Linked DNA regions of Mus musculus. The protein of the gene in region 1 binds, or shares a complex with, the protein of each later gene. Links are inferred from orthologs where the notes say so. Each region holds a gene or a part of one and is shown on either strand. Other genes may lie near its edges. The genes, in order: Capn2 and Capns1.

What was found.
Region 2: the proteins of Capn2 (region 1) and Capns1 are in contact, whole or in part, in a crystal structure (PDB 1KFU), measured with the Homo sapiens proteins. The link is inferred for Mus musculus from reciprocal best matches to the Homo sapiens genes CAPN2 and CAPNS1. Residues at the interface, in NP_001739.3 of Homo sapiens: Ala2, Gly3, Ile4, Ala5, Lys7, Leu8, Ala9, Arg12, Glu13, Glu16, Phe60, Arg366, Arg416, Arg417, Arg418, Arg420, Asp494, Ile516, Phe551, Glu575, Lys578, Val581, Asp582, Asp585, Gly588, Ser589, Gly590, Gln641, Leu642, Gln644; in NP_001003962.1 of Homo sapiens: Thr85, His86, Ser88, Asp111, Asp112, Met113, Glu114, Ser116, Thr118, Asp142, Arg145, Ser146, Ala149, Val150, Met151, Asp152, Ser153, Asp154, Thr155, Thr156, Gly157, Gly160, Phe161, Glu163, Asn206, His208, Leu209, Met212, Ile213, Arg215.

What each region holds. Positions count from the first base shown.
Region 1 is NC_000067.6:182,511,656-182,523,145, reverse strand, and holds the start of Capn2 (calpain-2 catalytic subunit), read left to right. Parts: upstream 1-5,535; 5' UTR 5,536-5,791; coding exon 5,792-6,028; intron 6,029-10,869; coding exon 10,870-10,939; intron 10,940-11,490. UniProt on the Homo sapiens protein: Calcium-regulated non-lysosomal thiol-protease which catalyzes limited proteolysis of substrates involved in cytoskeletal remodeling and signal transduction. Proteolytically cleaves MYOC at 'Arg-226'.
Region 2 is NC_000073.6:30,189,243-30,200,619, reverse strand, and holds the start of Capns1 (calpain small subunit 1), read left to right. Parts: upstream 1-5,466; 5' UTR 5,467-5,614; intron 5,615-6,518; 5' UTR 6,519-6,533; coding exon 6,534-6,742; intron 6,743-6,871; exon of another isoform or gene 6,872-7,373; intron 7,374-7,419; exon of another isoform or gene 7,420-7,532; coding exon of another isoform or gene 7,533-7,576; intron 7,577-7,719; coding exon 7,720-7,753; intron 7,754-8,027; coding exon 8,028-8,117; intron 8,118-8,242; coding exon 8,243-8,300; intron 8,301-8,393; coding exon 8,394-8,458; intron 8,459-9,892; coding exon 9,893-9,961; intron 9,962-10,062; coding exon 10,063-10,141; intron 10,142-10,451; coding exon 10,452-10,568; intron 10,569-11,377. UniProt on the Homo sapiens protein: Regulatory subunit of the calcium-regulated non-lysosomal thiol-protease which catalyzes limited proteolysis of substrates involved in cytoskeletal remodeling and signal transduction. Essential for embryonic development.

The DNA.
Region 1 (11,490 bases):
TGAACTTGAGCATATATACCCAAGAAGTTCTAGAATTTCGACTTGGAAGGGACTTGGGAATTGAAAAAGTGCAGATGGTAGATGGAGTTGCAAGGAAAAAAAAAAAGATGGTCTTGGAGCCTGCCTTGAGGCTATTTTGCTTAGTGAGCAGCTTGCCCTGGTAAGAAACATTGATTTGGAGGACTTGGGATACTACTGATGGAAGCTGTGCAGGGGCCATAACTCTCTGATACACTGTGGTGCCCATAGAGTGGGCAGTGTAGTTCTCCAGCTCTATTCTCTTCATCAGGGACTATGAAGATAGAGAATCAGCGGGGCTCTCACACAGAGGTGACATTGCTATGACTGCTGGCAGTGGTGGTAATGATGATGGTGGCAATGGTGGCAACACCTAAGCATTTCACAGATATCCTGAGCTGACACTTGTAACAACTCTGACTATGCAAAGTAGACAGTGGGTCTCCACTTGAGCAGACAAGTTTCCTTCTCTGTTGCTCTTATAGAATACCAACTGAGTAAAACTTGCGGAAGAAAAAGGCATATTTCACCCTCCAGGTTCATTGTCTTAGTTAGGGTTTCATTGCTGTGAAGAGACACCAGAATATTGGCAGCCCTTATAAAGGAAAACATTTAATTATGGCTAGTTTTCAGTTTCAAAAGTTTAGATCAACATGGTGCTAGAGAAGCAGCTGAGAGGTCTACATCTTGATTCACAGCCAGCAAAGAGAGACTGAGCCATCCTAGCTGTAGCTTGAACATAGGGGACCTCAAAGCCCACCTCCACAATGACACACTTCCTCCAACAAGGCCACAACTCCTAATAGTGCCACACCCTAATGACCAAGCATGACACATAGACACATGAGTCTATGGAAGCCATACCTATTCAAATCACCACATCCATCATGGAGGGAAGTCAGGGCAGGATCTCAAGGCAGGAACCTAGAGGCAACCACTGAATTAGAGCCCCAAGGAGGCACTGAGCACTGGCTGTCTTCTAGGCTTACATTTAGTGACCTTATTTATATAACCCTAGGCCCACCTGTCTAGGGGTGGGCACTCACTACAGAGAGATAGGTCCTCCTCTGTCAATTAGTCATCAAGGAAATACACCCCCAGACATACCCAGGAGCAAATCTGAAGGAGGCAATTCCTCAAATGAGGCCCCCAACCCACCCCCAGTTATCTCTAGTTGGTGTCAAGTTGGCAAAAATGACCAGGTATAGGAAGGAGATAAGATAGGGGTGGAGGGGCTGGCGTTTTGAAAATGGCAAGGGATCCTACAAGTGAAGATGGAATTCATCCTTAGCAAATCTGCCATTGTGAGACACTCCTGTGAAGGTCCCTCTCAGAGAGGGAATTTGGTGCCTAAGGGGCGCCCTCATCTGTGGCCCTGCGTGCAGGCTGGTGACACAGGCAAAGACTCAGAAAGCAGCTGGGTGTCTGGAACTTGATTCAAACGGTTTCCTCTCCTCTTCCAGCCCCAGGCCTTTCACATCTGCAACATTAAGGAGAACCTGTCTGATCTCCCTTCGGCTCTCGGATACCCTCCTGAGCCCTCTCTGCTTCATGGCACACACTGCAGTCTTGAGAGAAGAATAAATCCTAATAAATACAATCTCTCCAGAGGAAAGGAAGTCATACTATGTGCTACTCAGCCTTCCACGGCTGTGAAACGAGCGCCTGAGAGAATAGGTGAAAGGCAGGAATGACTTGGGTGGGCTCAGGCTTCCAGAGAGATCAGTCTGTGCTCAGCTGGTCCCACTGGTTTAGGGCTGAGGTGAGGCAGGAACCCGCAGAGAAGAAAGGGGTTCCCTTCATTGTAGACAGGAAGCAATCAGAGAAGAAGAACCTGAAGGCCGTATATGAACCCTTCAAAGGCCACTCTACAGTGACTTCTTCCTCTGACTAAGACCTGCGTGCTAAAGTTTCTACCATTTCTCAAAATAGAGCCACCAGCTGGGAACCAAGCATTCACTATCTGAGCCTGGGGTGGGGACATTAATGCTCAAACAAACTTGTCACACAAAACCAGGTCCTTTGTTTCTGTCTCCTGTACATTGATACAGGAGACGGAACTCAGGCTTCCAGAGAGGTCAGTCTGTGCTCAGCTGGTCCCACTGGTGCACACTTAGATAACTGATCTACCAGTGAACGACAGCTCCAAGTGGATTTCAGTAACACTGTGGAATTCCTCTAGTCTGTGATTTGCTTTGAAGTCACACCACAGACCTGAAACAAGGAGAAGAGGAAAGCATAGTTGTGCCTCGTACTCCACCTGCCTTGTCCTTTGCTGTCTGAAGCCAGAAAGGGAGGCCCTGCTGTGGTGTAAGGTTTCAGAGTAAGGCTTAGTCCAGTCCACCACACGCCAGCTACTGCCACAGTCCTCCTAAAACAGGGAGCGAGGGTTTCCTGCAGCCAGCTGTGAAGTTTGTGAGTGCAACCAAAAACTGCATCTCTCTCTCTCTCTCTCTCTCTCTCTCTCTCTCTCTCTCTCTCTCTCTCTCTCTCTCTCTCTCTGTCTCTCTCTCTCTCTCTCTCATATTCCAGATATGCCAGCTGTTTCTGATTCACAAATACCCTTCTGGGCGGGATGACTCATTTGGAAAGAGGGGATCTGTGTATGTGGCTATGGTTCCCTGACAGGGGTCATGTGGCCAGAGAAAGAAAAGACCTGGCCAACTCCCCTGAGAAAATATGGTGAGGGAAACTTCGAGAAGCATAAAGAACAGGGTTGACTCAGGTTACAAACTGGTCCTTGTCCAGAGAGTGAGGTCAGCCATTCCTCTGTGTGTCTGCAGATTTGTTGCAGTAACACTAGACTCCGTCTGGGGCCTTTGGGGAGCAGAGCTCTATGCTCACAGTTGGCTTGGTCGGCTGCCCTGCCTGAATGCACCGTGAAGGGTGTCGCTAAACCGGAAGAGGAAGCCCTGGGTGAGAAGGGATGTTCTTCTGCCTCCGCCTTGCAAAGAAAGCTTCGGTCTTGCAAGTTTCTGACTCGTTGGCAGTGATGGGCGTAGCCTGCCCAGGCTTTTGTAGCTAGAAGGATTGGGGAGGGGGGCCTGGTCTCCAGCTGCCAGGGAGGAGGAACCAAACTTCCTGCTATATCAAGTTTGGGACAAACTTTTTTCCAAGAGCCCTGAGCCGGGCAGAAATCAGGGTGGGGCCAATGGAAATAAGATAGTGGGAAAATTAAAAGTTTCCAGGAAAGGGCTGTGAAGCGTCTGAAGCCATTGCACAGGAAACCCCTGAACTACCAAGAACAACTGTGGTAGTCTTCAATTCCTTCAGTCCCACAAGACAAGACAGAGCCTGGTGACATGCAGTGTGCCTATTAGGCTAAGTGCTGGGAGTTGAAACCTAAAGACAGAGAATATCAAATAGAGTCAAACTGAGGTAGGGAGACATTGCCTTTCCAACCTGTGATCCTGGGCAGGATGGCCCCCTCTCAGGACTCTGCAAGCACCTCAGGTTCAAACAGAAAAATAAGGGAGAGGAGGCTCCGTTTTTTTTTTCTGTGGCAGAGGAGGGACAAGCAGAGTCAGGGAGAATCTGGAAGAGAAACACTGGGAAATGACGAGCCAAGTAGAGGAATGTTCTGGCTATCGTTGGCCCCTTCCCAGAAGCTGGTGACAGTGGGCTGGAAGCCCTCTGTTTCATTTGTGTGTGGGCCATCCTGGGGGAAGCAGATCTGGGGAACCATTAAGGAAAGAAAGAATCCCAAGTGAAGTTTGAGCAAGTGAAGCAGTGAGTCAGCCTTGGGCAACAGTAGACACCCGGTTAAAGACAAGAATACAGAAACGAGGCTAAATAGGAATGAATCTTTCTTAAAGCTAAAATTATGGCTTCATATTGATACAAATGAACACATTTTAAAAGATTTTATTTGACAAATACAGATGGAGTAACCAGACACCTCATGTTTTGTTTGTTTGTACTTTTGTTTTTTTAGACAGGGTCTTGTTGTATAGCCCTAGCTAGCCTGGAACACTCCGTGCAGACCAGGCTGGCCTGGAATTCATGGAGATCTGCCCCCATCCCTGCCTCCCCTTAGCATGTATGTATCCAGCTTACTGCTGGGTAGAACCTTCTGGGCGCGGCCCGTCAGGCACTTCATGTTAAGTGTTGGGATTTAAAGACATGGGCTACCATGCTCGACAGCCAGCATTTGTTTGCAGCATGGTGGTTTCTAAGCTTCATGGCTCTTTTCCGGAAGCTGTTCATTTTTTCCCACCATCTGATTTCCTTTGGCCCCACCCTGATTTTTTCTGGGCTCAGGATTCAAAAGGGAAGTGGGGGAAGATCCCAGACACCTGCCATGCCCAGGAGAGAATAGTGAGGTAGCAGTATCAACAGACAAGCCCTGGCTTTGCCACAGGGAGACAGACACTTTGATTCTTCCAGGAACAGTCATTTGCATATCACTGATATTTCAAGTTGCTACAATTTCCTGCAACTGACAGAGTTACAAACTATCTCAGAAACCATCAATGCTGAACCAAGATGAGGTTCAAACCAGGGTTTCTCAGCCTGGCACAGAGATCTTTCAGACTGCACTTTTCTTCCTGTTCTCTCTGTAGAGGGATGCCCTCCGCCCGACCATCCTTTAGTAGCACCTGGCTTCCACCCAGTAGAGGCCAGGAGCCTCCTTTGTCCCAGTTGTGACAATATGAGGAAAGTCTGCAGTTAGGGTCAAAAACCTTTAGGGTCACATTGGTGCGTGCGGGTTGCTTCCAGTTGAGAACCCGTGCTTTAAACCATTCATAGCACAAGCCCGCCCAGTTCTGTGTGTGTGAGTGGCAGCGAAAACTTTCATTGGACAGAGCGGTGGTACAGGCCACCAACAGGGGCTCTGTTCTAAATGGTGTCCCAGCAGCAACTCAATAAATCATCCCAGGTAAATCTGAGTTTTAGATAAGCATCACATTATTATTCTAACACAGGTTTGCCTCGGGTGATATTTGAGGGCTACGTATGCTAAAACCACACAATCCCCCAGCCCCTTTTCTTGAAATTTAGATTTAACAAGCATGGATTGTTTTGTTTTGTTTTTTTGTTTTTTTGTTTTTTGTTTTTGTCAAATTGTACAGCCCTACTTATGCACAAATAAGTAACTGCAGAGGCCCTGGGACCCTAAAATTCCTGTCTTGCTTTAATTTGTAGGGGTTACATCTTTGAACTTCTTTGGAGCTCAGTTTCTCATCTGTAAGATGGACACACCAGTAGCCATTTCTCACAAATTTGGGGGTGGTAGGTAACATGTGTGCCCAGAGCCTGCAGAGCTCTCTTTCGATCCTGAGCCCAATGAGTGGCAACTGGCTTAGTCGCCGCGCTCCCTCCCTCATCCGCTCCTGACTCATCCGATGTTTTCTGGACAGTCATTGCTGAGTTTCGCCCAGCCTTACTCCCCAATGGCTGGGGTTTGACAACTTCGCTCCCCAACTTGCGATTGTCGTCCCCCCAACACCCCCCGCTCGCCCTCCCCACCGGGCCGCGCCATCCCGAGAGCCGTCCGAAGGTGGCAGCATCGGCCCCGTAGTCCTCACGGTCGGGCTGGCACTGTGCAGGTCGCCGGCGAGCCGCGTCCGGAGCCCGGCGCCGAGCAGGCCTGGGGAGGCGGAGGCCACACCCCGCGCACGGCCCAGGCGCTTCCCGCCGGTGAATCATCCCCGCAGCAGCGGCTCCCGCAGTCCGCTGCAGCGCCCCGGGCCCGGCCGCGCCCCAGCCGAGTGCCGTGCCCCGCCTCTCCGCGACCCCTTTCTCCGTGCAGTGCGCCAACCGGATCGCTACCATGGCGGGCATCGCGATAAAGCTGGCCAAGGACCGCGAAGCGGCCGAGGGGCTGGGGTCGCATGAGAGAGCCATCAAGTACCTCAACCAGGACTACGAGACGCTGCGGAACGAGTGCCTGGAGGCCGGGGCGCTCTTCCAGGATCCTTCCTTCCCCGCCCTGCCGTCATCCTTGGGCTATAAGGAGTTGGGGCCCTACTCCAGCAAAACTCGGGGCATCGAATGGAAGCGGCCCACGGTAGGAAGCGCGAGGGGAACAGGCAGGGCCGGCAGGGCCTGGAAGGGCACTCGGGGTTCCGGGAGGCTGCAAGTCCCTGGCTCCCCGGCTCGGTAGTCCCTGCTTAGTAGTGCTCCGCGATTGCTGCTAAGGGGACTCCCTATGCAGACTGAGGCCCAGCCAGTGGACCTGCCCCAAGCTGCGCGCAGAGCGCTTCGCAGGACAGGACCCCAAATCCCATTAGTGGACACGCCCTGGAGGCTGCCTTCGGCTTCACAAAGCCGCAGGGACACAGGGCCGCTGGGGTGAAACTTTTACTGGACTCTAGTGGTGATCTGAGTGAGGGTGGAGACACTGCTCGGCAGTAGGGGTGGGGGTGGGGATATCAGAGTAGGATAGAAGACTCGGGACTGCTGGGTGGGTGGGGGCAAGGGGTGGGCACAGCCTGGCTCTGGCTGACAAAGGTGGTCACAAGTACATGTGGCACTTGTAAATGCAAGTACATGTATTTATCCAGCGTGGGTTTTGTCTGGCTCTCAAAGTGCAGTTAGAGGACTCTTTAACTTAAAGAACTGAAGGGTAGCTTAAAGAATCGATGGGCTCCAATGATTCTGTTACTCATTATTTTGCTGACCTAGAGTCCTCACCCGGAAACCTCTGCTCAACTCCTAGATACTCCTGTCCTAACCCTCAGAGTCTCTGCCCTTAAGCCCTTCCCGTTCCCTTGTGGTTTCAATCGCCAGTGGATGCCCATGGGACCCTCACTTGACTTTTCCCAGGAACTGAGAGGAAGTCTAAACTTCTAGATTCCTGTTAGGACAATGGACATTCATACCCTGCTTCTATCCTCTTGGTTCCCCCAGGCTGCTTTTGTTACTGAGTCTAGTCTGAAAGTACCAGAGACTAGCGGGGGTATAGCTCAGTTGGTAGTCTTTACTTAGCATGCATGAAGCCCTGGGTTCTATCCCAAGCACCATATAAAATCAGGTGCATGCTAATATATGCCTGCCATTCCAGGACTCAGGAGGTGGAGATGGGAGGATGAGAGATTCAAAGCCTGGGGCCACAAAGATGGCTCATTGAGTAAGGGCTTTGGTGGTCATTTCTAATGACCTTAGTTCTGTTGCAGAACCCACCTGGAAAAAGAGAACCAACTCCCCCAAAATTTTTCTCTGACCTTCATATGCACACTGTGGCGCACACGTGCAGAATCTCACAGGCACGAATGTGCACACACACAAAATAAATACTAATAACAACAGAAGAAGATGGAGGCTGGCCTTGGCTATACAGTGAGTTCATTTGAGGCCAGCTTGGACCACATGAGAACTTGACTCAAATTTGAAGATAAGTGGCAAGGAAGACTAGAGAAGTCTCTGTGGAACAGGATTCAGAGCACCTGGGTACCCAGGGTGAATCACTGGCTCTCCCTTCCTCACCTCAGCCGGGCATGGTGGTACACACCCTTGATTGAAGCCCTCAAGACACTTTGTAGCTTTGGCTGTTTAGTAAGTTCTAGGCTAGCCTGAGCTACACAGTAAGACTGTGTCTCAACATTAAATGAAGATAAAAATAAGACCAATGAGGCCACTCTGTTTTCTCTCTTGTCTACCACACTTGGTGCAGCTGCTGCGGCTGCTTCGGTTTCCTGGAGACACCCCGCTCTTCTCTCTTACCCTCCTCATCTCCCAGGCATGCTCTTGCCCCAAGTCTGGCTCATTTACATTCTTTCAAAGTCTCCTCCTTCGAGAGTTGTTCCTCACCCTGCTGCTCTCTGCCCTGTGCACATTCCTGCCCTGGGGTTGTCACCATGAACACACGCAGTCACATGTTTTCTCGCTGAGCTGTTCTGTGTTATTTGCCATGTGCTCTCAGTGTCTTGCTGGAGTAGCATCCCTTCTCAATATCCATTCATTCATTCATTCATTCACTCATTCACTCATTCACCAGCATTTAGGGAGTGCTTACTCTAGCCCAGGCATTGAGACATCCACAACAAACCACTGACTGTTTAAAGAATGAATGAATGAATGAATGAATGAACGAACAGTCATTGTGAGCCTCAGATGACATCCTGGCCGGGGAGACTATTCACATACCAGAGAACACATTCCTCACATTTGCATACTGTTTTACGACTTACTTTTTATCATTTCTGTGGTTAGGAGACACCCTAATCAGAAGCAACTGAAGGGAGAAAGAATTTACTTGGCTTAAAATTCCAGGTTACAGCACATCATTGAAGGGAAGTTAAAGCAGAAACTCAAGGCTGAGGCATGCTTACAACCCACACACATCTGAGTCCACCAACGTTCCATTCAATCAATGAGCAATTATTGAACACTTATTATATTCCAGGCACCGTATACTTAGTTTCTGTCTCTGAAGCCCAGAGAGGGCAGAAGTGTCCTTCAACAGGTGATAGTAAAGCCTTTGGGCCTCCTGAGTAGAAAGACAGAGTTCCAGAGCCACCTCAGGGACACTGCCTAGGGCAGGCTACACACATCATCGGACAGTTGGAAAAAACAAAGCTTGGGAGTGTCAACCTTGCTCAGAACAAATCAAGTCTGCATTCATGGTTGGGCTAGCTGTCCTGACCTGTCCTGTCATACCCTGGTGGGGCCAGGCAACAGGAATAACAACAACAATAATAAAATAATAATAATAATAATAATAATAATACTAATAAAGTGGCTACTGGAGTCACTAGCTGGTTTTTGGAGACTGAAATAGAGCAAAGTCATTGAATGGGAGAAGGGAAGGGACCAGACAGGCTGCAGACCCTGGAGGAGGAGAAATGGAAGGGAACTAGGTGTTTCACTTATTTAAAAAGGATGTGTACAGGAAAAGAAGAGTGGAGGAGAAGGAGAAAGAGGGGGAGGGGAGAGAGAGAGAAAAAAGAGAGAGAGAGAGAAAGAGAGAGAACAAACACTTGTGGCTTGATTTAAGAGTTGTTCAGCTGTGAATGACTTGAGTTTGCTAGAGGTTGAGTCATAAGAGAGGAAGGGGTTAAAGGTGACCCCCTGAGAAAGGCTGAAGCAATCCAGAGAAAGCAAGGCAGGCAAGGGAGCTGATTAGCCAGGTTGGTGGCTTGGGGGCTGACAACTCTTCCGGAGAGAAGAAGAGTTCTTGTCCTAACACTGGCAAGAGAACTCTCCACTGCAAAGAGATGAGATAGACCATGACCAAGGCTGAAGGCAGTGGCCATGCTAGGCCACAGTGACGAGTGGCCCAGCATCGTCCGAGGATGGCACCTCAGGTCCTCTCAGCTGTCATGATAGAATACTTGTCAAGGCCATTCACTTGACTCTGAGAACAGTCCTGTGTGGGTGGTACATTTGTCTTCTTCAAACCCATTGTGCAGATGCAGATGAACAAGCTTCAGGATGTCGTGTAACCCACCAGCATCCTAGACCTTATGCAGTAAGTGGCAGGGCTGAGATTCTCACTGCCTTATCAGAATCCAAGGCTCAAGCCCTCCCTCCTTTCTTGTATGGCTACATCATATTTAATTCCAGGCTCCACAGGCTGTGACTAGGGCTCAGTTTTCTAAAGTATATCCAGGTTGTGAAGTCTGAACTTGGACTTCTCTGGAGACCCTGAGGCAGTCTCTGAAGTATAATGGTAGCCCTCCTCCTGGGGTAAGAGCTTGGCCCCTGGATGATCGGTGTGACAGAGGCTCCTGGAGCTGAGACCAGTCTGCTCCATTCCCAGGGTTAAGTGCTTGCCTGGCAGACCTTAGGAAAAGTTGGCTTCCCTGCTCAGACAGAAGTGCTTTCTCATTGCCCCTGCATCCGTCAGGCAGACTGATGGGGAAGCAGAAAGTGAGCATGGAAGTGAGCAGGAAGTGAGCAGGAAGTGAGCAGGAAGTGAGCATGCTCTGTGAGCTGGCGTGCTGGAGGTTGCCAGGATAGACCCATCTCTCAAGGAAGAAGACTCCTGGTAGACAGAATAGTGCCAAGAGTCAAGCCACACTATGCAGATGCGAAACTCCTACAAACCAGCTTAGATTTGGGGCCTGACTTCCTTTGTGGCTTTTGGGTGGAGCTCTTCAGAATCTGGAAACACACCCAGGAGCCTGTGGGAGGGCCGAGATCTTCCATGTTGGCTGTAGGGAGCAACCTCCTCAGAGGCATAAATGCATTAGCACTTGACACCAATGAGTTCAAATCCCAGTTGTCTCTACCACTGGGGAACGGAGAAGCTTTAAGCAATCACTTTACCTCCTTAGGTGTTCTCCACATATAATAGGAGCTGATTTCATCTTTAGTCGCTAAAGTGCTACAAGAGATAAGGCTCCATGCGGTGTTTGCATAGCAGGTACAGAATGCACGGATTCTCCAAGTGCTGAGAGAAGGCAGAAGGGCTGGATTCAACCCGTCCCCAAGAAACACGTGTATTAGAAAGATGGAGGAGGACCCGTGAGTGTCACCAGACTTAGGTTCTCAAAAACTCTAGGACAGAACTCAAAGGGAAGGGTGGGGATAAATGAGGGAGAGGGGCTTTATCCTAGAAGGAGAGGGAAAAGATATCGAAATGTGAACTCATTTGGAAAATGTAGGCAAAATGAATGTCATGCAAACCCAACCACTTGCATGCATGCCCGGAAGAGAAGCTGCCAAAATGGTGGGCAGGGGCCACTTAGTGTGGAAGGTCCCAACACCTGGCAGAGGATGCTGATGCATTCCCTGGCCCTGGTAAACAGTGTAATGGAGCAGGGTCATAGGACTTCCTCCTAGCATGGAGGTCTGACTATGAAACGTTCCTCAGAGCTGAGCAGCATGAGGAGGGGCTTGAAGCAACCACTGGGAACCGAGGCTCCTGGCCACCGTGCTGACCATGCTCTGTGTGTTTGTTTCCAGGAGATCTGCGCTGACCCCCAGTTCATTATTGGAGGAGCCACCCGCACAGACATCTGCCAAGGAGCCCTGGGTAAGTAGTGGGGTCTGGAGCAAGCTGTGCTGTGTCAACTGCAAGTTCTGTGGCTTCTCTCCCCCAGCTGTGTGGTGACTTCCATTTTCAGAAGCTCCCTGGATTTCTTGTCTCCTGGGGCTGCCCCCTCGCCGGTCACAATGCTAAAACGGAAGGTCTGTGAGGTCCAAGACAGGTCCGAGAGGAGGCAGTGACTCAGTGTGAAGGAAGGGGAATCCTTTCACTGCTGAGAGGAAGTGGGAAGCACCAGGGCCAGCTCTGCCATGCCTGCTGCTCCCCGCAGGAGCTCACCAGGGAAAGCAGTGTGAATGTGAACAATCGGAATGATTCAAACTAACCCAAGCATCGGTCAGGATTGGGAGGGCCCTGTCTGAGAATTAGGGCTCTAGGCTCTCCAGCTTCTGAACGCCCCACCCCACCCCAGGCATCTGGTGAGTCTCAGCAATGATAATCCACCTTCACTTTTTCTTCTATGTAATAAACATGACCCTTTAATTATTCAGGGCAGATTACTTGCTCTGATAAACCAGAAGCCTGCTATCTGCCTCAGT
Region 2 (11,377 bases), on another chromosome or scaffold:
CAGTATCTGTCAATCAGTAGCAGTAGATTAGAGTCTCCGATGTTGGACACAAAGTATCTGCTCCTATGACACTGGCCAGGGTTCAGAGGCTACACACAGCTGCAAAGGAGGATGGGAAATGCAGTCTAGCTCTGGAAGCCCATAGGGAATCAGCTTTAGTGAATCATTAGTGTAGGGAGCCAGAGACCCAAGTCTTTCTCAGAGGTCCTGAGAAACAAAGCGACTTTAGTTCTGTGTCCTTGTCCTGGAGGGGACTTGGCAAGGCTGAGGAGGGCTGGAGCCAAGGCCTTGAGGGAGCCTAAGTTGGAGCGTCTGGATACTGGACGCTTCCACCTGGGCTGTGGTTATCCACTTAGGCAGCTGTGTCTCAGGTACCCTGTGTTCTCTTTGCCAACATCATCTGACGCAGCTCTCTGCTGACCTGTTTTCCGGCTGTTTTCTCCCTGTAAATAGTATTTGGGATGCTGTAATTCTTAATAAGCTTGCTTTATAAACATCAGCTCATACAAGACCTCCTGATCCCAGCTATTGCTTTTGTCTTTTTTATTTCTCGTCTTTATTTCTCATCCCCCATCCTCCCACCCGATGCCTCGCTGTTTGGAAACCCTGTTCCTACCGGTTCGGGTCACATTCACCAATCTCTACCACGCATTTGGAACATGCTAGCTCTGAAGATGGGGGAGGGGCTGCACCGCCAGTTGTCTTTGTTAGTGTAACCTCCGAGGGTGTGCTGGCTAGGTTTTTTTTTTGTCACCTTGACACAACTGGGGACATCTGGGAAGAGGGACCCTCAATTGAGAACTTGCTTCCGTCAGATTGGCCGTTAGGCAAGGCCTTGGGGGTCCATCTCAGTGACTAACACGGAAGGTTTCCAGTGCACCGTGATTGGTGCTCCCGGCCTTGGGGGTAGGTGGTTCTGAACTGTATGGAAAAGCAGGTTGAGCGAGCCCTGAAGAGCATGCTAGGAGGCAGGGTTCCTCCAGGGCTCTGCTTCAGTTCCTGCGTCCAGGGTCCTGCCTTGGATTCCCGAGATGAACTCTAACCTGTAGGTCAAACCAATGAGCTTCGCTTCCCACATTGCTTTTGGTCACCGGCCTTTACCACAGCAATAGAAAGCAAGCTAGAGCAATGGACGTTGCTCATCCTGCATCTCCATTATCTATCCCTGGGTTTAGTCAGGACTCAATAAATATGGGTTCAAACATGAAGGAAAAAAAAAAAAACAAACTTCTGCTAGCTTTTAGATGATGGAATATTATACACAACGTGAAAATGATGTTTTTAAGACTGTGGGAAATTGTTCACGGTGTATACAGTGAGCATTTTAGAGTAGATAAGATTTAAAATAAACCCTAGGGGCTGGAGAAACGGCTCAATAGTTAAGAGCACTGGCTGCTCTTCCAAATGACCCAGGTTCAATTCCCAGCAACCACATGACAGATCACATCTGTTTGTAACTCCAGTTCCAGGGGATCTGACACCCTGGACATGCATGCATGCAAAACACCAATACACATAAAACAATTTTAAAAATAATAAAATAAACCCTAAAAACAGAACTCAGAATGATAGCCAATTCAACACAATAGAATTCTACCTCTTTCTTCCACAGCAGCCAAAGTTTAAGCACTTGCGATGATGCCAAGCCACCAAGTACTCAGCTTCTCCCTATGGCCCTGCTACTCCTAAGGCAGCAGTTTGGCTCCACAACACCTGTGTCTAGCCAGTAGGGGGAGTAAGAGGGCAGAGACTCTGGCAAGCTAAGAGAGACGAAGTCAGCCTTGCAGTCTAGTTTATTGTGCGTGAAGGATTGTGAGAGTCATTGGAAACCTTCCAGGAGAAAAGTGGATGAGGAGCAACAGGTGAGCAAGGGGTGGTGAAGACAGCAGCTCTTTCCGAGTTAATATTACATGCAAAAACCGCGCAGAATAAAAAATTTGCATTTGGAAGAGACCAGCCAGATGACTCAGTGGTGCCAGGCTGACAAATCGAGTTTAATCTCCAGATCTCAAAGGGAGGTGGGGGAGACCAGGCTGGCCTCCAGCTCATACACATATCTCTCTGTCTCCCAAGCGTTGGGATTAAAGAACCAGGTGGAGAGATCTCCTCGTGTAGAACACTCCTTTAAGCCCAGCAGCCGGGAGGGAGACAGAGGCCAGAGAATCTTTGAATTCCAATCCCGCCTGGTCTGTATAGCAAGTTCCCTGCCAGGCAAGGCTACACAATGAGACTTTGTTTCATAAAAAAAAAAAAAAAAAAGAAAGAAAGAAAACGAAGTGGTGTGTGATGGAGTTAATTAGAAATCTGAGAAGACCCCTCTCCCTCACTGCCAGGAAGCTCTAAAAGAGAGGTCTTGGAATGGAGTTCCGTGTCCCGACACAGCTTGCTGGTAGAGCCTCAAGCTCGCAGAGATCAGCCTGCCTCTGCCTCCTGGGACTAAAGGAGTGCGGCGCGATGCCTAGCCACCTTGTACTGACTTAGAGTAGCAGGGAGGTGAAAGGACAGGTCAGTAAAGACCTTGTGGCTTGAGTGAAAAACTTTTTTTTTTTAAGTGCTAGGCCTTCATGCACACTGCCTTGTGCTGTACCACGGAGCGGCCCTCCCTGGGGAGGGAGTTCTGACTCTTCCGGAATGAGGTGTACCAGGCACAGATGGGATCTGGCCTGAGCCAGGCTTCCTTTGTTTGCAGGTTATAGGGCCAGAGACTAGGCAGGAAGCGTTGGTGACAGCTAGAGGCAGGGAGGAATTAGAGGTGGGGTGAAGGTGAGGTGAAGGGGTGGGAGATGGGGGTGAGCAGGGAGGGAGGTAGCATTGAGAGTGCAGGAGGAGCCAGTTAGACTTGCTGACAGGGTGGAACAGTGGGGCATTATGGAGGCAGACAGTTGGGACCAGTGAAGTGTGATTGTAATGTAATGAGAGCATCAAGGTGGCTAAACAGGATTGCCATGAGTTCAACGCCAGCCTCAGGCACCCAGAAAGACCTTGCTTGTCTCAAAGGCAAGCAAGCAAGCAAACAAGCAAACAAGTAAACAGCAGCAAGTAGCTGGTGAGGAGGCACAGTGGTTAGAGCACTTGCTGCTCCAGCAGAGGATCCATGTTTGAATCTCAGAACACACAAGGCAGACACAGACATACAAGAAGCAAAAGCAAGACAGAGAAGCCATGAGTCCTGAGCCTTGTCCAGGTTGAAGATAGGGATTTGGGGGCTGGTGGCCTGGAGATGATATGTAAGACACGTGGGATCAGACACACTCCTGTAACCCCAAGAACTTTTAGGGTGGTTGCAGGAAGATCAGTTCAAAGCCATTCTCTGTTAAACAGTGAGATTGAGGCTAGCCTGAGCTATATGATACCACCTCACAAAATATACACACACAGGGGACAAAAATCACTGAAAAATACTTCAGGGAGGTACCAGATGGCAGGCACAAGTTGAATGGACAGAGGGACGATACCTAGAGCTCACAGATGCCGGCAACTGGGACTCAGGGAGACAGAATTAGAGGACAATATGACCACACTGGGTAGTGTGTATGGTGAAAAATGGGTTTTATTTTATTTTTGTTTGTACGTGTGTTTTGCTTGCATGCATGACTTTGTACATTTGTGCCAGCGCCTTCAGAGCCAGAAGAGGGAGCCTAGATCTGGACTTGAGACACTTGGGAGCTGCTTGATGTGGGTGCTCAGCACTGAACCCGGGTCCTCTGGAGGAACAGTCAAGACTCTTGACCCCTGAGCCATCCCCAAGCAAAACTCCCATGAACCTTCTTTTGTTTGTTTGAGACAGGGTCTCACCATGTAGCCCAGTCTGTCCTCTGGAACTCACTGTGTAGACCAGGCTGGCCTCAGAGTTCTCCCTGCCTCTGCCCCCTGAGTGCTGGGATCAAAGACAAGTGCCACCACGATAGGCTCCCTTAAGTATTTTTAAATCGTTGTTTTGAGATAAGACCCTGTGGTGTAGCTCGCCTGCCTGAGTCTTCTGAGGCCTGGGCATGTGTCATCATGTTTACTGTTGGTCTGAGGGCATGAAGCTGGCAGCCTCTTCAAGCCTTGGGTGGATGTGAGGACAAAGAGGTCTTCCCAAATGAGAGATGTCTGAGCTCTGGTCCAAAGTGGAGGACACAGACAGTCAAGTCCAAACACAGGAGTATTTGTAGGCAGAGGACAGGGCTTATGCCAGCGAGTTGAGCCTGAGGTCAGACTGCTCAGTGTGGCAGGGAGGGGTGTGGCAGAGAGGGAATCCACATTAGTCATCACCAAATGATTTATCCGCTAAGGCTTAGGCCTGGGTCGCCACCCTCTGTGCTCCCGCCTTTTAGAGTTTCCGGTTTCGACAGGTTAAATCTTGCTTCACACACACACACACACACACACACACACACACACACACACACACACACACAGGTTTGAGCAATGATTACCTGGCCTGGTCCCAGCAAGCCCTTAGGTGGCGTTAGTGCAATTACGGTCTTGTCTGCTGAGATCTTATTTGACTGATTATCATATTAAGTTATCGGAGATTCTTTGAACAGGTAAAGCAGACTGGTTGTTTAACCTCAGTTTACTTATACATAGAATGGGGACAATAACAGACCTATCCCACAGGCCTGCTTCGAGGACACACAACCTAGTGAGTGGAGAGTATTTAGGGACCGGCAGGTATTTGTCGATGTTGTTTAAGGATGAGCAAGAGTAAACGAGCTAAGGGAACCAGGTGAGCTCCCAGCTGAGGGAACAACATGGCGACATAGGGACTAACAGAAGAGCTGCCATTTACTATGTATTTATCACTTAATTCTGATAGGGGCTTACCCTAGTGTCCTCTAGGGTCTCATGTAGCCCAAGCCGGTCACAAACTTGTTATGTACTGAGAATGGCTGCCTGCCCTCACCTCCCAGTGCTGGTTTTACAGGTGTGTGTCATCACGCCTGGCTATGTTCCCGCCTTACACATGAGGAGGTCATTACTCAGAGACACCAGGTCACTGTTTTAGGGATGAGCAATAAAGACTCAAACCGAGGTTTATATAGTTCCTAGGGAGTGGCCAGACAGCCAGACTAGAAGCCCAACAGCGACCTGGGTGAGAGGCACAAACTGATGGTAAACTTAAGATGTAGATTCCTAGCATTCGGGAAACAGAAGCAGGAGGATTGTTTCAAGTTCGAGGTTAGCTAGGGCTTTAGGTCATCATTTAGAGGATGTTTAACAAACCTCTGTCTCAAAGTGCACAATGAATGAATGAATGAATGACAACTGAAGTCCTTTTTTGCAACTATATACTGCAACGGTGACCGGGTACCCTGTATCTAGTTCCTGGAGGCTCCAGTACCTGGGCGTTAGAATAATTTATTCGTACTCAAAGCTATTTAATCTGGACAGCGTTGAATTTCCAGCAGTGTGTGTATGGGGACGGATGAGCTAAGCAGAGACTTGCAACCATAACCCTCCCGCGCAGGCGCAGTCTGCAATGGAGGCTCTAGGACCGCGCAGACGACGGCTGGGTGGCGGCAGGGTCTAACCCGGAGTAGCTGCCTGAGTCACCGGCCCCGCCCTCCCGAACCGGACACAGCGGAGGCCCTGCAGCAGGCGAGCAAGACCGCGGACCGCCGGATCCGTAAGTGAGACGGGACACTCCAGTCCAGCACCCCTGCACCCTGTAGATCCGGAATCCGTAGTCCTCAGATCTGGCGAGACCCTAAAGTCTTGGCCCTTGGGGGGTCCTAGGACCGGTGTTCTCAGATTCGAACCATCGGGCCTGTCAGCCCCTCCAGAACACTCCTTACCATCCCGGATCTGACGACCAAAAAATATAAGCCCAAAGATCAGAGAGATACCCGGAAATTATTTTGGGCGTCTAGAACCACAATCCGAGATCGTGGTTCCCATTTGCGGTGGGAAGAACTCCGTTATCCAGGATCCTCCGGGCGCACAGCCATAATTTTTGGCCGGAGCCCACAGATCCCGTAGTGACAGTGTAGTCCCTCTGTCGAGAGTATCTGAATGTCTTAATCCACATTAGGAACTTCCTGGTCAGCCCTGGGTCATCCCTACCCTGAGCTTAATTTTGGAAGGCCTGGATCTGAGACACGTTCGGTTTTACACACCTTAGGGTTTCTACACGAGAATCCCCTGTTTTCCCGCTGCCTCAAGACAGGGTAAAGCAGGCAGGCGCTGTAGCCGAGGCTGGCCTTGAACTGGTCCTCCAGCCTCAGCCTCCCAATTTCTGGGATTACAGTAGAGCGCTACCACGCACGCCCAGCTGTACCCCTGTCCTCATGCCTATATATATGCAGTCAAGCCTGGGCCAGGGTACTTTCTAGACCCTAGGAGGTTTCACATCTCCTATCACCTGTCCAGACCCCTAGCTAGAGGCTCTGTCCCCATCTCGAGGCCTTAGTTTCCTCCCCAATCTAGTTGCCGGAAATGCTTGCTTTTTTTTTTTTTTTTTTTTTTTTTTTTGCGGGAAGGGCTGGGCTCCTGGCAAGGCCACTACCCGACCCACCCCTTTTACTTTACAGGACTCAGCTGCGATCATGTTCTTGGTGAATTCGTTCTTGAAGGGCGGCGGTGGCGGTGGGGGAGGCGGGGGTCTGGGCGGGGGCCTGGGGAATGTGCTCGGAGGCCTGATCAGCGGAGCTGCTGGCGGCGGCGGCGGTGGCGGTGGAGGCATGGGACTGGGAGGAGGTGGCGGAGGCGGTGGAACTGCCATGCGCATCCTGGGCGGAGTCATTAGCGCCATCAGGTAAGGCGGGGCCTGAAGGGGCGGGGCGGGCCAAATAATAAAGACTCACTTAGAGTCCGACCTGAGAATTCTTAATTAGTCTGGGCTGATCCATACCGGAAAACTGGCCCTAAGGGGATTCTAGCGAGGCTGGTGTCACTTTTTAGTACCAGGATTAGTAAACCTGCTTCTGTGGGTCAACAAATAGGATGCAGTTTCTTGGGGATAGGGGCTCTTCTGTGTTTGGGGAAGGTGCAATTCTATAGGATTGTATCCAGCCTTCACTGGGGGCGCAGCCAGTGGATCTAAGGCTGTCCATGGCTTAAGATTTGAGCGAGGTGGAGCTTGCTGTTTTAGGAGAGATCAGAGTCCCCAAAGAAGAAATGGTCCAGAGAAGGTTGTGTGGGGTCTGGAGCTGATTGGTTTAGTGGGTAAAAATCCTTTGCTGGGGTTAGAACAGGTGGCTGGCACCTATATCGTTGGTGATCCAAGCACTGATCCCTGGGAGGAGTAGGGGCTGATGGGGGGCGGGAGAGGTAGACGTTAGGCAGTTAGATAATCTGCAAAAGGAGCGATGGAGTAAGACTCTGGACAACTGAACCCGAGGAAGATGAGGCCTAGGAAAGCTGGTGCAGACAGACCCCCTTGTGAAGTGAGTTCTTCAAGGGGCGGGCCCTGCTAAGTTTGTTAAGGTTTTCAGGATTTTGATTGGGGCTAAGATGCTTCTGACATTGTGATTGGTGGGTGTTCCTGGGCAAGGAAAGGATTCTTCCGTGGGGTGGGCCCTTGGGAGGTGGGAGAGGTTGGCCCGATGGAGGGAAAGGAGGGGTCAGACCATTCTCTTGATTGGACCAGGTCAGGACGATGAGGTAGACGAGGGGAGGAGGGAACCCCTTAAGGAAGAGGAGGGCTGGAGTTTCAGGGGTTGGCTGACCGTTCTGCCGCCCGTTGGAGGCTCTGCCCCCATGCGCTAACTCAGCCCCCTTGTCTCCCCTCAGCGAGGCTGCTGCGCAGTACAACCCGGAGCCTCCGGTAAGCAGACCTAGAGACCCTTCCTCCTCAGGCCTGTTGCCCGCCTCATCTTCCCCATTCCTATGAATAAGGCTCCCCCTCCTTCCTTAGGAAACCCCCTGCCGTTAATAATGTCATTTTTTTGAGGGCCCCTAAGCTAAACCCTGGGTCTCAGCCACGCCTACTTGCTACACCTAATTCAGGTTCCCTGGCCCTCAGACTGCCCAGCCCTCTCTGACTTTTCCCTGGGACACTTGTTTCTCCATCTCTGTTCTGAGATCGCCTCTCTCTGCAGCCTCCACGTAGTCATTACTCCAATATTGAGGCCAACGAGAGTGAAGAAGTCCGTCAGTTCAGGAAACTTTTTGTCCAGCTGGCTGGAGACGTAAGTATCCTGCCTGACCGCTTGACTCTGTCACTTGACTGTGACAACCCGGAAGTTCCCATCCCGGTTTATGGTCTCCAGACCCTTTCCATCTCCCTTGAACTGTACTTACCTTCTGCCGTCAGGACATGGAGGTCAGCGCCACAGAACTCATGAATATCCTCAACAAGGTCGTGACCCGACGTGAGTGACCAGGGTCAGAGTGTGGTGAAGGTTTAGAGGCATATGGGCTGGGATGGTCTCTGACCTCTGACCTTCAACCTGTTCCCCCCTCAGACCCGGATCTGAAAACTGATGGTTTTGGCATTGACACTTGTCGGAGCATGGTGGCCGTCATGGATGTATCCTTTTGGGGCCAGCCTGGAGAATGCCTTGGGTGAAGAGGGTCTTCTGGGAATATGTTGAGGACGGCCAAGGTGAAAGCCTTCATACTTGGAGGACACAGACTTACCTACGTGACCATAAATAATATCAGCTGCTACAGCTGGAACTTTACCTAGATTAGTGGATCCAACCTTTACAGATACCTTGCTAGATAAAGACGATGTAATAGGAAAGGAAACAGGCTCAGAGAGACACAGTGGTTTTGTCTCTGGCCAAACCGCCCAGAATTTACCTGACATGAATATCTGATCTTGAAAGCTAGTCTTGGGGCTACTTGAGGCTTGGATAGCAGAAACAGTCGTTTAGAGAATACATTGCAGGATAGGAATTTGGACTTGGGAGTTTTGGTTTGAGAATCTAAGCTTCGTTTATTTCTCTATTTACTTTTAAGCAATATTGATTGACTGACTGATTGATCAATTGATTGATTGATTTTTGAAACAGGATTTCTCTGCCTTGCCTGGCCTGGAATTTACTCTATAGACCTGGCTGGCCTCGAACTCAGAGATCTGCGCACCTCTGCCTCCCAAGTTGGGATTAAAGGAGTGTGCCACCACCATCCGATTACTAGTTATTTTATTGTACAGTATTTTTGGATTCTTGAGATGGGTCTCAAGAAGCCTAGGCTGGCCTTGAAGTCAGTGTGTAGCCAAAGCCAAACTCCTGATCTTCCTCTCAAGTGCTAGAGTTATAAGCATGTGCTACCATGCCCGCTTGGCTTATTTTACTTTTACTCACGTGCATGTGTGTGTGTCTGCATGTGCGTGCACGTGTTCTCAGAGGCCCGAGGACGTTGGACCCCCTGGAGATGGAATTCCAGGTGGTTGTGGGCTGCATGTTTTGAATTGTAGGAACCAAACCCAAGTCCTTTGCAAGAAGATTAAGCACTCCTGACTATCTAGCCTTCTAAGCTTATTTTATTTTTTTTAAAGATGTATTATTTATGATGTATACAGTGTTCTGCCTGCATGTATGCCTGTAGGTCAGTAGAGGCCACCAGATCTCATTATAGATGGTTATGAGCCACCATGTGGTTGCTGGGAATTGAACTTGGGACCTCTGGAAGAGAGGGGGCTCTTAACCCCTGAGCCATCTCTCCAGCCCTTATTTTATTTTTTAAAGTACGAATTAGGGTTAATCCCAGTACTTAGGAGGCAGAGGCAGGTGAATCTCTGAGTTGGAGACCAGCCTGGTCTATAGAGCAAGTTCCAGGAAAGCCAGAGCTGCATAGAGAAACTTTGTCGTGAAAAGACCAAAAGAAAAAAGAAAAGAAAAGAAAAGAAAAGAAAAGAAAAGAAAAGGGAGAATGGAAGAAAGAAAAGTTAGCATTTTGGCATTCACACACACACACATTGCATTTTGTCACTTGGTTCTTAACAACCTCTTGTTAGAGCGACACCACAGGCAAGCTGGGCTTTGAGGAGTTCAAATACCTCTGGAACAACATTAAAAAGTGGCAGGTAAGTGGTAGCCGCTGAAACTCCCAGGATCTGATCCCCCAAGCCATGGGGACCCCATGCTCCATGATGCTTGGTCCGACTGTTGTCTTTTCTATCCTTAGGCTATATACAAACGCTTTGATACTGACCGATCAGGGACTATCGGTAGCCATGAACTTCCAGGGGCCTTTGAGGCAGCAGGTGTGCTGGCAGGGGGTGATGATGGGCAGGGGATGGGGTGAGCAAAGTCACACCGTCACTGTACTGGAGATTGAGAAGTCCTGTGTGAAGCCGGGCATGGTGGCGCACGCCTTTAGTCTCAGCACTTGGGAGGCAGAGGCAGGCGGATTTCTGAGTTCGAGGCCAGCCTGGTCTACAAAGTGAGTGCCAGGACAGCCAGGGCTACAGAGAGAAACCCTGTCTCAAAAAAACAAAAAAAGAGAAGGCCTGTGTGCTGGGGCCCTGAGACCAAACCGTTTTTTGTTTGTTTTGTTTTGTTTTGTTTTCCCAGGATTCCACCTGAATGAGCATCTCTACAGCATGATCATCCGGCGCTACGCAGATGAGAGCGGGAACATGGATTTCGATAACTTCATCAGCTGCTTGGTCAGGCTAGATGCCATGTTCCGTGAGTGTCACTCTAGATCTCTGCGAGGGTGGGGATTTGCTAACCTTCATTGGCCAAGGGCTCCTCTAGGTCTAACCTTAATGTCAGCAATGCTGGGCTCACTAGGCAGGGACAGCTGAGACTTGTATGGCTGAGATTCTTTTTTTTTTTTTTTTTTTTTTTTTTTTAAAGATTTATTTATTACATGTGAGTACACTGTAGCTGTCTTCAGACACACCAGAAGAGGGCATCAGATCTCTTTACGGATGGTTGTGAGCCACCATGTGGTTGCTGGGATTTGAACTCTGGACCTTTGGAAGAGCAGTCGGGTGCTCTTACCCACTGAGCCATCTCACCAGCCCCTGGCTGAGATTCTTGTATGGCCATGTGGATACTGGGAATTGAACCCCAGGATCCTCTGCAAGAGCAGTAGGTGCTCTTAACCTCTGAGCCATCTCTCCAGCTCCATCTTGCCTGGTTTCTTTTTCTTTTTTTTTTTTTAAAGATTTATTTATTTATTATATGTAAGTACACTGTAGCTGTCTTCAGACACACCAGAAGAGGGAGTCAGATCTTGTTACGGATGGCTGTGAGCCACCATGTGGTTGCTGGGATTTTGAACTCAGGACTTTCATAAGAGCAGTCGGGTGCTCTTACCTGCTGAGCCATCTCACCAGCCCCTTGCCTGGTTTCTTGAGACACGTTTTCATGTAGTTCGGGTTGATTTGAGACTTGATTTGTAGCTGAGAGTGACCTTGAACTTTTGACTCTGAGGTGAGAGCTTTTATTAGGATTGATGTAAGACTACCTCCAAAATGGGAACTATTGTC